2 linked regions of the Lonchura striata genome follow. The protein of the gene in region 1 purifies or fractionates together with the protein of each later gene. This does not show direct contact. Links are inferred from orthologs where the notes say so. Each region holds a gene or a part of one and is shown on either strand. Other genes may lie near its edges.

Region 1 (7,263 bases):
GAGGACCAAAGGCAGAGCTGCCCCATGGGGCTCTGCAGGTGTGTCAGCCCAGCGGGGCTTTGCCCTGCAGGTAACTGCAGCCAGGCAAAACCCGTGTGCCTACAAGGAGTCGTAGGGTTTTTGGGGGGGGGTTGTCCACATGGACCAGCCTTACCATGAAATGTATTTCCCTCCTGGAACTGCTTGTGCATTGCTGATCAAGTCAGTTCTGGAACAAGCTAAATCCTTCCTCTAAACGAGATGTTGTCCCAGTTAATCTTTCTTGGCATTTTGTGTTATGATCCTTCCCCTGTTTCGCTGGGTACACCCCTCTCTCTCTCACACAAAATCCTCCTGTTCATGGCAGTGATTTTTCTTGGGCATCTATTTCCCAAATGAGACATTCCAGGGATCCAGCCAGGAAACTTAATTCCACAAAACCCTTCCCTGAAACAAACCTTTTCATGCTCTCTCTTAATAGTAAGTCATGTGGTGTTTATATAATTGTGTTTAAAATATCCTTGGCTATGTTGTTTTACAGATTTTTAAAAAATAACTTATACAATCCTTGTTTTTTTCCTCTGTGGACTATTTTTTATATGGGAGTGGGGTATCTTTTTGTGTCTTATTCCTTCTCCTTTTCTCCTCTCTGACCCTGCAAAGCCACTCTTTGCACGAGACATATGTAAACTTTCCTACGCTGCATGTTCTGATTTTCATTGTTAATAGTTTTAATGAGTTAAACCTCTTGCCAGTGAAATTGTCACCAGTTCCACACGGAACTGGGATAATCCCTGCTTGGTTTCGGCTGCAACGACACCTGCCCTGCCTGGGCTTGCCCACAAGAGCTCACCTCAGCCAGGTGAGGAGAGAAAGCCACACTGTCTCCAGCCCTCACCTGCCTGGACCAAATCCAAGGAAAGATGGAGCTATGGTGAACTGATCTTTAAGTTAATAAACTATTGATCTCCCCTGACAAATGAATCTGTGCTTTTTCCAAATTCATTAAGTCCTCACTGGAAGCACTGCATGTCCTTACTTTGCTGGACAAAGCAGCTCCCCTGGCTGGAGCACCTGTGGGAGACATGCTCAGGAACAGATGAGCTGCATCTGCAAAAACCTCGCTATTGTTGTTGCAAAGGTCTTTTACCTAGAGAAGAAACTCAAATCCAGAATACCACCCTGTGCCTGCCCTGTGCCAGGCCGGGCTGGTGCACCCAGGGCCATCTTACTGGGGTTTGGGGCCGTGCTGGGGTGGGTGTATTCTGCAGTGTGGATGAGCTGGCAGAAAAACTTGCTCCCCTTCCCCACTCATACAAGGAGCATCCCGAGCTCCCAGTTCCCCACTGCAGCTCCCAGCAGCTGTTCCTTGTTGGCTGTCTGGGAAAGAGAGGAGCTGCTGCTGTGGCTGGGGATGCAGGGAGCTGTAGAACCCTTTGTTTGTCGTGTTGGTTTTGCAACAACCATGGGCCAAGTGCCCAGGGTAGTGCCTGGAAATCTGGAACTGAGCTTTTTAAGTGGGGGGAAAAATAAAAGAAATCGAGCCCTCCTACAAGGGAAGACGCTTTCTCAGGGTTGTGCAGCTGTGGGCTCCTGCATTTTGTTGGTCTTCACATTCATCAGATGATAAATGTGAATTAATCACATACAGTGATTCCTTTTGCTGCAGGATTTCCCTTTCAGTCTCAGGCCAAACCAGAGGTCAGAACTGGGGTGACACACTTCTGGCTTCTGCCCCTTGGGTTGGAAAACACCAAACTTCATTTCTCCTGCTGTGTAAGTGAGAAAACAGGAGCTGTGGATCAGGAGTACTGTGCCAGCCTTCCAGTTCTCTGGCTCACAGCAGCCTGCCTCTAAACACTGCTCCCTGGTATATTTAGATGTACTGAAATGCTACAAAGAAAGCAAAATGCTTACTCTTACATCTTGACATAACTTAAAATACACACTGGGGAAGGCAAGGCAATTTAAGATGACCAGTCCCCAGCAGTTCCAGCTCTATCCTGCTTTCTGCTGCCTTCCAGCCTGCCAGGGAAAGAAAAACAAATTCTGCACATTGAATTCATGCAACAACATCAGCTTCCAGCGTTTTCCTCAGAAATCATTCTTGTAAAGTAATAAAATTCAGATTATTTCTCCAAGCTGTTGCAATACTTGCTCAGAGCTATTAAATTCTGACTGGTATGCTCAGAGGATCAAAGTGGCTGTGTCTTCAAGATAAATGCATATTTAGGCAATTTATTAAAGCTCATTTCTCTGTTGTCTCTTGGCACCAAAGCCAAATCTATAATAGCTGTTTTCTGGAAAATCTTAGCGCAGCCTGACTCCTCGTTTGCAGTTTGGCCCTGGGGTTGCAGCCACGGCCATCTGCCATTGTGCAGTTGGCAGGTGGGGAGAACAGATCTTAAAAATCATTGCTTTGAGTTTTCACTGCAAAGAAAGGACTGTCGAGAGCTTGTGTGCAGCGTCTGAGACCCAGAATCCATCTGCTCGCAATTACAATTCTATTGTGGCTGTAGAGCTGAAGCAAACAGATGTATTGTGCTGAGGGAGACAGGTCCATGCTTTATTTGGCCTTGTCAGAGGCAGGGCCTGCTTTCCAGGAGGCTAAAAGAGTCTCCTTGTAAGAGCAGCCTGAAATGACTAAAGTCTTTAACGCTGCATGATGCCTGAGTCATGTACAACAGCGCTGCTAATTCTTGGGTTTTTCTTGTGACAGCTCCCTCTTGTTCTTGCTCCCTCCTATGTTATAAAACAAATGCAGCTGTTATAAAAAACCTGACTCTGTGCTTTCCCATAGGGCTTTGATGAGGGAGTTTTGCCAGCAGGGAGCACAGGAACTGCCTGAGCCCAGCTGATCCCTGGCAGGGATCTGCAGTCCTGGACACTGAGGCAGGCCCGGGGTGATGCCCTGAGAAGCTCCCAAAAAGAAAAGCACGAGCCATCCTTGAGCAGTGCCAAGCGTGGCAGCAGTGTTCAGCCTGTTATCACATCCTCTGGGTTCACAGAAATGTCATGGCTCACAAAAAACATCCTCCCCACGATAGCAGCGGCGGCAGAAATCATTTTTCCTCATTCTGCTCTGCGGGCCATGAAGGCCAGGGAAGGATTTCCCCAGAAGCAGCAGCTTGGTGACATTGAGCAGGTTTTGGGGGCCTGGGGGTGTCCCTTAAATGTCACTTCCAGTCCCGTCACTGCAGTGTGGCTCACCCGCCAGCTGTGCCTGTCCCAGTGGTGCCAGGCAGTGCCCCAGCCTCAGCAGCCAGAGCCCCCTCAGCTCCCCCAGCGCTACTCCCAGCCCTTCCTTGCTGTTCCCCAAATTCCCAAAGCCAGTTAGGGGGATGTCGTGACGTTTGCGATCACGTTTTGTCTCACAGATAAAAAGGGTGTGTGGTGCTGCAGCCTGTGGGGTGTTCCCACAGCACCTCAGACCAGGAGTGCACGTGGAAGTGACAGGGAAACTGCCCCAAAAGCTGCAGGGGGAAGATGTTTATGGGCAAAACAATGTCCAGGAGCAAAGGCTGAGCTGCTGCTGGGATGGATGGAGAGCACCAAGAGCTGTGGCTGCTGCAGAAGGTGCCCTGAGGAGCAGCAAGTGTTTGAACACGGTTCTGTCTGAAGAGGAGCACCAGCCATGGCGTGAAGCGTGCTCCTCCTGCTCTGCCCGGATTTCTGCAGCTAAATCTGCGCCTGGAAACACCAGAAGGTGGGAGGGGACCTCTGGGGACACCTGTGCTGACAGCAAAGCCAAATCCCTCCTGGGCTTGTGAGCCATGGCTTGGGAGTGGGGCTGGGAGCTGGCCCGGGAGGAGCAGAACGCGGGGATGGGGTGCTGGGGAGGTATCAGTCCATGAGGGGAAGGGGAGGCAGGGATGGGGTGCTGGGGGATATATCAGTCCTTGATGGGAAGGGATGGGGTGCTGGGGGATATATCAGTCCCTGAGGGGAAGGGGAGGCAGGGATGGGGTGCTGGGGGATATATCAGTCCCTGAGGGGAACACAGGCACGGGGTGCTGGGGCTGTACCGGTCCCTGAGGGGAAGGCAGGGATGGGCTGTCGGGGCTGTACCCCTCCCTGAGGGGAAGGCAGGGATGGGCTGTCGGGGCCGCACCGGTCCCTGAGGGGAAGGGAAGGCGGGAGGGGCGGGCAGGGCGGTCTCTGCCGCTCGCTGTCTCGGCGCTCGGCCGCCCGGGCTGCGCGCGCTCGGCGCTCGGCGCTCGGCGCGGCGTACTGCGGCGGCGCGGCGCGGTGGGTCCCGCTGTGTGTCCCGCTGTGTGTGTCCCGCTGTGTGTGTCCCGCTGTGTCCGTCCCGCTGTGTCCCGGTCTGTCGCCGTCTGTCGCGATGGTGAAGCTCACGGCGGAGCTGATCGAGCAAGCGGCACAGTACACCAATGCCGTCCGCGACCGGGAGCTGGATCTGCGCGGTGCGCGGGCCCCGCGGGGCGAGAGGGCCGCGCTGGGAAGGGGCTGAGGGCTGCGGGCTGCGGGCCGGGGTGGGCGCGGGGCTGTGCTGGGGCCTGGCGGTGCGTCCCGGAGGAGAGGCCGTGACGGGGTTCGGAGGTCCGTGATGGATCTCCCAGTGGGGCCTGGCGCCTTCCGCGGCCGGAGGTGCGGAAGGAGGACGGGGACGCCGCGGGAGGGTGCTGGAGGGGCTGCGGCGGCCGGGGGTGGGGGTGAAGAGCGCCTGGAGAGGCTGCAGCGGCTTCGGGACCTGCGGGGGGTGTGAGGGCGTGAATCACAGAGTGCTAGAACGCTTTAGGATGGAAGGGAACCTAAAGATCATCTCGTGCCAACCACCAGAAGGCGATACTGGAGGGAATGTGGGAGGCATGTGCTGTGGCGGTGAAAGGTGGGTTCGGCTCGGAGGACACGTCCAGGCAGGGAGCTGGGGTTTTGCTGTGGGGGAGGATGAAGGATTCAAAAAGCCATGAGGGCTGTTGGGCTTGAGGAGGAGAGTTTGGTCTGGGAGTGGTGTGGAGCAGAATCAGTCCCGAGGTGTTTTGTCTGAGCCTTATCAGCATCCCGATTTGCCCCCACACACTCTGTTCTGTCTGCTCTGCTGTGGGCACCATCTAATCCCTGCCCTGCGCTCTCTCTCCAGGCTATAAAATCCCTGTCATTGAGAACTTGGGTGCCACTCTGGACCAGTTTGATGCCATCGATTTCTCTGACAACGAGATCCGCAAGCTGGACGGGTTCCCCCTGCTGCGGAGGCTGAAAACGCTCCTCATGAATAACAACAGGATTTGGTAAGGGCTGTGCTTTGGCCTGATGGGACTCTGGGCAGAGGAAAATCCTCTTGGGGGAGAGGAGTGTGTGTGCATCTTTCAGTGCTGGGCAGATGCAGGAGTGTTTGTTTGAGGCAATAAAATCAGCACTGAGGACTGTGTGGGCCCTCTTTCTGATTCAATGCAAAATTCAGTGTTTGTTTCTCAGCCAGGACAAGGAGATGCAGAGTTTGGGGTCTGGCCACATCTTTGGATTTCAGTAATCAGCTCCAGAAAGACATGAGAAAAGGGATACCTGCAAGGGAATGGATTTAAATCTCATTGCACCTAATATTCTTGCAGTGATTTATTGCCAGCTTTATTAGAAAAGTGTTTTGGATGCTCACCCAGACTTCTGCCAGTGTCAGACTGGGTTGTTGAGTTTCTCTGTGTGTTTCCAGCATTGCTAATTCCTGCCCTAAATGAAACCTTTGCTTTTTCTTCTTCTTCAGTCGGATTGGTGAGAACCTGGAGCAGGCTCTGCCCAGCCTCACAGAGCTCATTCTTACCAACAACAACATTGCTGAACTGGTAAGTTGGCATGCAGGATAAAGCTAAACAAGCTTAAAATTTGTGGTTTTCATCTCTCCAATTGACCATTTTCCTGAGAGTGCCATATCCTTTTGGTAATAGTTGGTTCTTTCTCTTTAGAGTAACATCCTGCAGTTTTGGCAGTAGTTAATGGTGTACATGCTTTAATGAACATGATTTGCATCATGTAGTGGAACAGCAGTCACAAAGCTTAGTGGTTTTCCTATTAAAATAATTGCAGTAATTTAATTAATCTCAAAAATATATATTAGTTCAGGAACTTCGTTTTCAAATAGTTGATTTTTTTTTTGCTAAAGGCGCTTAAAATATCTTGCTGTGCTCCCTTTACCCAGGGTGAACTGGATCCATTATCAAGTATTAAATCATTGACTTACCTGAGGTATGTAACCCCAAAAAGAAAAGCTGCTCTTTCTCTGGTGTTTGAACTTTGCTGCTGGCCTGGCCCTTTGCTTTGGTCTGGAATGCTCTGCTTTTTATGAGCTGATGTGACAGATCCTTTATGTCTAAAAATTTAATTTATAAACTTAATGAGCATCTGGTAATTAATAGCTGAGGTTTTATATTACTGACAGACTGTTTCTAATGAGATGTAACATCTCTAGAAACCAATACACAAGTGCTGAAGTGAGTTTAACCTTTAAAAATCTAAACCCAAGATGTTTAATCTGTTGATAAAAAAAGTTTAAAATACATGTAAACAAGGACTTTTCAGTAATAATAAAGTGATGTTTCAGTTACTTTTTTGGGGGAGTATTATGATTATTTTGAGGTTGTTCTTAATGTCATCCTTCAGTTAAATCTACTGAATTGCTAAAGTGCAAGTTTTTACTATAATTTCCATAATATCAAAGAACTGTCACTGAACTTATTTCATGATGTTATTTGTTACCTGTTACAGCAGGAAGTGCATTAATGCATTTCAAGTATATTAATATATTTCAATACAAGTGTATTAAAAAAAATTATATTAAAAGCCTCTTTATAACCTTTATTTACTTCACAGCGTTCTAAGGAATCCTGTAACAAATAAGAAACATTACAGATTATATTTAATTCATAAAGTTCCCCAGGTCAGAGTGCTGGATTTTCAAAAAGTGAAGCTCAAAGTAAGTCTGCTTGCTTTTGATTTAGGTATTTGTACTTGGTGGGGTTTTTTTGGTTTGGTTGGGCTTCTTTTTAGGGTTTTCTTTTGGGGTTTTTTGCGGTTTCGGTTTTTTTGGGGTTTTTTTTGCACTTTTGAAAATTCACCACTAACATCAATCTTGTTGCCATAGTTGTAAATTTTATTGAAACTCTGTAAGTGGCTCTACAATGCTCTCATTGTTTTCTTTCATGGTTTCCTTCTGTTAAGGATATTTTAATTTTATTAAAATATTTTTAAAAAGCTGTTTAATTATGTTTAATTAAGTTCTATTGCCTTTGTTTAGTGTTAACTCTTTCTTGTCCTTCTGGTGTTGGTAGGAGA
Region 2 (6,919 bases), on another chromosome or scaffold:
AACCATTTTCGTGACACTTTCTCTTCTGTGTCTCTTGAACAGCAGGCACAGGGCAGAATGCTGAGTGGGTGCTGGGCTCTGCTCAGCCTTGCCTCACCCCTGATCCCATTCTGGGGACGGGCAACCTCTGCAGTGCTTGTGCCTGCCTTCCCAAACCACAGCCCAGGACCAGCCGTGCCGGCCCTGTGATTGTGGCCACAGCGTCTCCCTCCTCCTGCTGCGTGGCTGCAGTGGCTTCCAGGGGCTGGGGGTGTCCATCTGTCTGTCCTTGCTGTCTTTGCAGGCTGGCTGTGGGACTGTTGGGATGGCTGTGGTACCAAGCCAACCCTGCTGCAGAGCAGCCTCCTGCCCTGCAGTGTGCACTGCCTGCCCATGCCACAGCATTCCAAGGGGACTCCTGGGGTAGCTGCAGCCTCCAGCCAGGATATCCACGGTCCCTCTTGGCAGCCTTCCCTGAAGTGCTGCATGCTCTGTACTCATGTTTATCAGCCAGGGAGCCATGTGTTCCCTAACATATGAAACTATTTTCCACAGATCCTTTACATTTACCAACAGCTGCTGTGACTTGCTCTGGACTTGCCTGCTCCAGCCCTCTCAGCACAGTGGCTAGGCTCCCATGGGTGCTGCTGTGGTGGCAGGCTGGGCACAGCCCACGGGGTGCCTCTGCAGGACCATGGCACTGGTGTGTGCACATTCCTGGCCGCTTCAAAGGCTCTGCTCTGCTGGCTGATGGAATTCTAGCACGATTTTTGTTGCTCTTGCTGCCCTGTGACCTGGGCTGGGCTCTGGTGCTGTGCTGGCCCTTGGAGGGTGAGTGAATAGCTCCAGCCCAGAGGTTCCCAGCTGAGCCTGTCCTCCAGCAGCAGCAGCTCCAGCCGGGCTTTCTGCAGTGCTGTTTCCAGGGATTAACCGCAAAAGGTTTCTATACAAGGGGCCCCCAGGCTCTTCTTTCAGTCAGCCTCCAGAGCCTCACGTTTTTAGCCAAAAAAGGAAATGACCCAGCTGCACGTAGCACTGAAACATCTGGATTTTATCCCTGTCATGAATGGGTCATGGCTGTACATGGCCCAGTGCCTGATTTACAGGAGGGGGAGGGTGATGTCATGCACAAACATCCCCCGAGACTCTGGAGTGTGGGTCTGAAACAGTCATGGAAATTTTATTAGGCACAAGGAGTGGTGTGAGGGGGGTCAAGCCAGGGCTGTTGTGCTGGTGAGGTGGGATGGGGGAAGCTGCTGAGGACATGGGGCAGCACTGCAGGGGTAGAAAGAGACCCTGGCACTGACCAAATCTGCCCAAGCTATGCCCTCCTGCACCACTGTGGATCAGGGGCAGCGTTTGCAGCCCCAATGGGCAGAGCCAGGTACAAGCCACTGCCTGGGGAGTCCTGTGCAGGGCCAGGAGTTGGACTTTGATGATCCTCATGGGTTCAGGATATTCTGTGATTCTCTGCATTTCAGCTCCCAGTCCCTGAAATGAAATAGCATCTCTTAGTCCAGCTTTCTCCCAATTCCTCCCATGTGCACTGCCACCTGTGGGCTGAGGAGGAGGGTGGTCATGCAAGGGCTGGTCTTGTCCCACCTTGATCCTCCTGATGCCAGCAGTCCAAAATAAGAAGGCCATGTGGCTGGAGAGGGCACTGCTGGATTTCAACTTCTTCCCTTTCCAGAGTGAAGGTTCATGCAAAGAGAAATGGAAGAACACTAAGCTCAGAATCATATCTCTGTTTTTATTTTTAGGCAGGCATTCATGAAGAAAAGTGATGTAATTTGCCTATAATGCAAGGGAGTAATTAAAGACAGTATTCTTACCTGCAGCATCATCCTATCCTCATTGAAGGATCATCTTTGGCTGCCATTAAGACAATTTTTTTTCTTGCTTTTGGCTGAGAGTAATTTATTGCACATGGCAGAAAAATATTAATGATTTATTAATATACAGTGAGTCAAAATGTAATCACAGCTTTGCATTTGGCAGTGTTGGGGCAAGGCACCCTTGGATTTAGGGGGGATCTGAAGAAGGCAGTTGAAACCCACATGGGGCTGAAAGCAAAGTCTGTGCTGCTGGGCACTGAGGCACCGGCCGTGGGGAGCCAGCACGGCACGGCCTGGCTGGGCACTGGACAGCGCTGCTGTGGCCGGGCAACCCCGGGAGGCTCCAGGCTGGGGCAGCCCTAAATCCAAACCGGCACCTCGGGCCACTCAGTGCCACCAAGCACCGTGCTCGGACATGGCCCTGTGCTCGGACACTGTGCTTGGACACCGTGCTCGGACACGGCCCTGTGCTCGGACAGTGCGCTCGGACACCGTGCTCAGACACGGCCCTGTGCTCGGACAGTGCGCTCGGACACTGCGCTTGGACACCGTGCTCGGACATGGCCCTGTGCTCGGACACTGCGCTTGGACACCGTGCTCGGACACGGCCCTGTGCTCGGACAGTGCGCTCGGACACCGTGCTTGGACACGGCCCTCTGCTCAGACACTGTGCTTTGACACCATGGCTCGGACACGGCCCTGCGCTCGGACACTGCGCTCGGACACTGTGCTCGGACACTGTGCTCGGACACTGCGCTTGGACACTGCGCTTGGACACGGCCCCGTGCTTGGACACTGTACTCGGACACTGTGCTCAGACATGGCCCTGTGCTCGAACACTGTACTCAGACACCGTGCTCGGACACGGCCCTGTGCTCGGACACTGTGCTTGGACACTGTGCTCGGACACGGCCCTGTGCTCGGACACTGTACTCGGACACTGTGCTTGGACACTGCGCTTGGACACCGTGCTCGGACAGGGCCCTGTGCTCAGACACTGTGCTTTGACACCATGGCTCGGACACGGCCCTGCGCTCGGACACTGCGCTCGGACACTGTGCTTGGACACTGTGCTCGGACACTGCGCTTGGACACTGCGCTTGGACACTGTGCTCGGACAGTGCGCTCGGACACCGTGCTTGGACACGGCCCTGTGCTCGGACACTGTGCTTGGACACTGTGCTCGGACACGGCCCTGTGCTCGGACACTGTGCTTGGACACTGTGCTCAGACACGGCCCTGTGCTCGGACAGTGCGCTCGGACACCGTGCTCGGACACGGCCCTGTGCTCGGACACTGTGCTTGGACACTGTACTCGGACACTGCGCTCGGACACCGTGCTCGGACATGGCCCTGTGCTCGGACACTGCGCTTGGACACAGCCCTGCAGCTCGGACACCGTGCTCGGACACGGCCCCGTGCTTGGACACTGCACTTGGACACCGTGCTCGGACACGGCCCTGTGCTCGGACACTGTACTCGGACACTGTGCTCGGACACGGCCCTGCTCTCGGACACTGCGCTCGGACACGGCCCTGTGCTCGGACACTGTACCCAGACACTGTGCTTGGCCACAGCCCTGCGGCTCGGACACCGCACTCCGATACGGTTCTGCCACTCGGACACTGTACTCGGACGCTGTACTCAGACACGGCCCTGCCGCACGGACACGGCCCCACACTCGCATACTTCGTTCAGACACGGTCCGTGCTTGGACACCGCGCTCGGACACGGCCCGCGCTGAGGGGCACGGCCCGCGCTGAGGGGCACGGCCCGCGCTGAGGGGCACGGCCCGGCCGCTCGAACAGTGTACTCGGGCACGGCCCCGCTCTCAGACACCGCTGTCGGACACCGGCCCCCTCTCAGACACTGTACTCGGGCACGGCCCCGCTGTCAGACACCGCTGTCGGACACATCCCCGCTGTCAGACACCGCTGTCGGACACAAACCCGCGGTCACACACCGCGCTCGGGCACGGCCGCAGCCGCCTCCTGCCGGCCGCGCCGCGGCCCCGCGCAGCGCCCCGGAACCGGAACCTCCCCACACAGCGGGGCCTCGCCGCGGCCTGCCGGCGGCTGCGAGCCGAGCGCGGCATGGAGACGATCCTGGAGCAGCAGCGGCGCTACCATGAGGAGCGGGAGCGCCTCATGGACGTGATGGTGAAGGAGATGCTCACCAAGAAGTCCACGGTGCGCCCGGGGCCTTGTGGGGGGTGCGGGAGGCTCCCCCGGGCCCGCGCTCACCGCTCTGCTCTGCCCGCAGCTCCGCGACCAGATCAACTCGGACCACCGCACCCGGGCCATGCAGGACGTGAGTGCTGCGGGCGGGAGCGGGGCTGGGCCGGGCCGGGCCGGGCGGCTCCCCGGGGCCGCCGGGGCCCGTCCCGGTGACGGGCTCGGTGACGGGCTCGGTGACGGGCTCGGTGATGGGCTCGGTGACGGGCTCGGTGACGGGCTCGGTGACGGGCTCGATGATGGGCTCGATAACGGGCTCGATAACGGGCTCGGTGACGGGCTCGGCGCCACTCGGGCCGCTCCTTTGTTCCGCAGAGGTACATGGAAGTGAGCGGCAACCTGCGGGACCTGTACGACGACAAGGACGGGTGAGTGTGCCCGGGGCCCTCGTGTGTCGGAGCGTGCCGGGCTGCTGGATCCAGTGTGTCTAAAGACTGACACGGGAATGGAGAGGTGGCGGCCGAGTGCAGGGCAGGACGCGAGTGCACCCAGGAGCATCCGTGTAGGATGGGCAGGTTTTGTTGTGTTGTGTCGTGGGGAGGCCCTGCCTGCTCCCGGGGTTTGTCAGGGGCTGCAGCCTGTGTGGGCTGTGACCATGAGAGCCTGGTGGGCTGGGAGGTCCCCATGACTTAAAGGTTTGCAGTCTAGACACTGCAGCACAGCCCTGGACTAAGGTTGTGTCAGTGTCATCCTTCCCTTCCCTTCCCTTCCCTTCCCTTATTCCCTTATTCCCTTATTCCCTTATTCCCTTCCTTTCCCTTTCCTTCCCTTATTCCCTTCTTCCCTTCCCCCCTTCCCTTCTTCCCTTCCTTTCCCTTCCTTTCCTTTGCTCCCTTATTCCCTTCCCTTCCTAATCTCTTGCTGTCTGTGAACTCATAGCCTGCGTAAGGAAGAACTCAGTGCCATTTCCGGGCCAAATGAATTTGCAGAGTTTTACAACAGACTGAAGCAAATTAAGGAATTTCACCGGAAGCACCCAAATGAGGTGAGTAGTTACCTGGTCCATAGGAAGAGGTGTGCTGTGCTCTGTTGGGTCTCATCCCTAAAGGAAACAGAGGTTTTGTTTCCCCAGTTTTATTGCTTTAACACACAAGTACTGAGAACACACAGCACAGATGCTCAGGGTCAGGCAGCATGTCAGGGAGCAGTGCAGGATGCTCACCCTGTTCCCTGCTAGAACAGGGATGTTCAGCTGAGCTGGGATCAGATCTCACCTTTCTTGTGCTGGCTAAAGCCACACTTTTGCCTTTGTGCAGAAAGAAAGGTGACAAAGCTTTGAGTCTCTTTTCTGTTTGCAATTTCATTATTTGCCACCTTGCATGATTTTATAGTAGTTATTCTGGGACAGGAGCTGAAGTAAATCGCTCTGTGCCTTGTATCTGCCTTTGCAGATCTGTGTTCCTATGTCAGTGGAGTTTGAGGAGCTGCTGAAGGCCAAAGACAACCCGAGTGAAGAAGCTCAGAGTAAGTTTGTAGTTTGCTCAAGCTCTGGCATTATTTAATAGGCTGTTTGATCTGGTTTGCGTGTTTCAGGGCCTCACCTCCCTTTTACTAAATGACTTCTGAAAATTCTCCTGTCATCTAAATGGTTCTGAACTGGAGTCCCTGGAACAGTCCCCAGTGAGGCTGCTGTTCCTGAGGAATGTTCTGGTGCTTGCACAGAGCAGCAGTTGGGGCTGCTCAATGAGTGTCAGAGACATTGTAGCACCTTCCTTAAGCATAAATGACTTTGCAGCTGATCCTTTTCCAGTTCAAAAAGAGTTGTATAATACAAGTAGGGAATATTAAGTTCATAATAAAGCTTTTCATGATCTTTCCTACAGATCTGGTGGAGTTCACAGATGAGGAAGGGTATGGCCGATACTTGGATTTGCATGATTGTTATCTCAAGTACATCAACCTGAAATCATCAGAGGTGAGTGTCTGCTGTGTGTGGGCCCAGGGATCTCCAGGCCCTGCCCGGGCTGAGGCTTGTCTTTTCTAGGAACTGGTTGTTAATCTGGCCTTGTATGAGCTCTGACTCGGACTTTCTGTTCTTAGAAATTGGATTATATCACTTACTTATCCACATTTGACCAACTCTTCGATATTCCCAAGGAGAGGAAAAATGCTGAATATAAGAGGTAAGCTTGTTTGCCTGCCTGTTTCCTTTATGGTGAGAAGGAATTTGCTTCTGAAGTGTCCAGCTGCAGAGATTGTAATTAACAGCCAAACTTAACTCACATAAATCATGTCCCTGAGCTCAGTCATGTGTCTGAGCCCCAATCAAACTTGCAGTGCAGCAGAGATGTGGAAAGACACATTCAGCTCAGAGGAAGAGCTTTAATGTACCATTGGACCTGTAATGGCAAAAAAATCTGTGGAAAACTGGCCATGCCTTGGTCACGTTCCTCTGCAGCACTGGAGGGTAGTGACTGTCCAAAGATGTGGTTAGAGGGTGACAGTGAATTACCTGTGCTCATGATTCCCCTGTATTCCAGGTATCTTGAAATGCTCCTTGAGTACCTGCAGGATTACACAGATCGAGTGAAGCCATTACTGGACCAGAATGAACTTTTTGGGAAAATTCAGACGGAGTTTGAGAAGAAGTGGGAGAACGGCACGTTCCCAGGCTGGCCGGTGAGCAGCCTGAGCTGGGTGATCTTCCTGCGTTTGGGAGGGGTTTGTGTGAGTCATTTGTGTAAAGTCATTGCTGGAGGTGACCATGACAGTGAGGGCTGCAGCTCTGTGTCACCAGGGTGCAGGGTGATACCAACCTGAATTTAAAACCCAGCATACCTGGTTTAAAATGAGCATTGTTTCAGGTTGGCTTATTTTGCGTCTTTACTACTGCTCCATTTTCAGTTTAGTAAGAGGATTTTTCTCTGTGAA

Evidence for each region.
Region 2: the proteins of SNRPA1 (region 1) and SF3A3 purify together in Homo sapiens (affinity purification with mass spectrometry; 6 studies listed by BioGRID and IntAct, counting the BioPlex papers as one, with this or other methods). This does not show direct contact. The link is inferred for Lonchura striata from reciprocal best matches to the Homo sapiens genes SNRPA1 and SF3A3.

The regions. Positions count from the first base shown.
Region 1 is NC_134613.1:21,794,739-21,802,001, reverse strand, and holds the start of SNRPA1 (U2 small nuclear ribonucleoprotein A'), read left to right. Parts: upstream 1-4,244; 5' UTR 4,245-4,321; coding exon 4,322-4,403; intron 4,404-5,080; coding exon 5,081-5,228; intron 5,229-5,698; coding exon 5,699-5,777; intron 5,778-6,130; coding exon 6,131-6,177; intron 6,178-6,801; coding exon 6,802-6,904; intron 6,905-7,263. UniProt on the Homo sapiens protein: Involved in pre-mRNA splicing as component of the spliceosome. Associated with sn-RNP U2, where it contributes to the binding of stem loop IV of U2 snRNA.
Region 2 is NC_134628.1:4,815,394-4,822,312, reverse strand, and holds the start of SF3A3 (splicing factor 3A subunit 3), read left to right. Parts: upstream 1-3,845; 5' UTR 3,846-3,907; coding exon 3,908-4,003; intron 4,004-4,076; coding exon 4,077-4,124; intron 4,125-4,363; coding exon 4,364-4,416; intron 4,417-4,927; coding exon 4,928-5,033; intron 5,034-5,439; coding exon 5,440-5,512; intron 5,513-5,871; coding exon 5,872-5,963; intron 5,964-6,088; coding exon 6,089-6,171; intron 6,172-6,528; coding exon 6,529-6,667; intron 6,668-6,919. UniProt on the Homo sapiens protein: Component of the 17S U2 SnRNP complex of the spliceosome, a large ribonucleoprotein complex that removes introns from transcribed pre-mRNAs.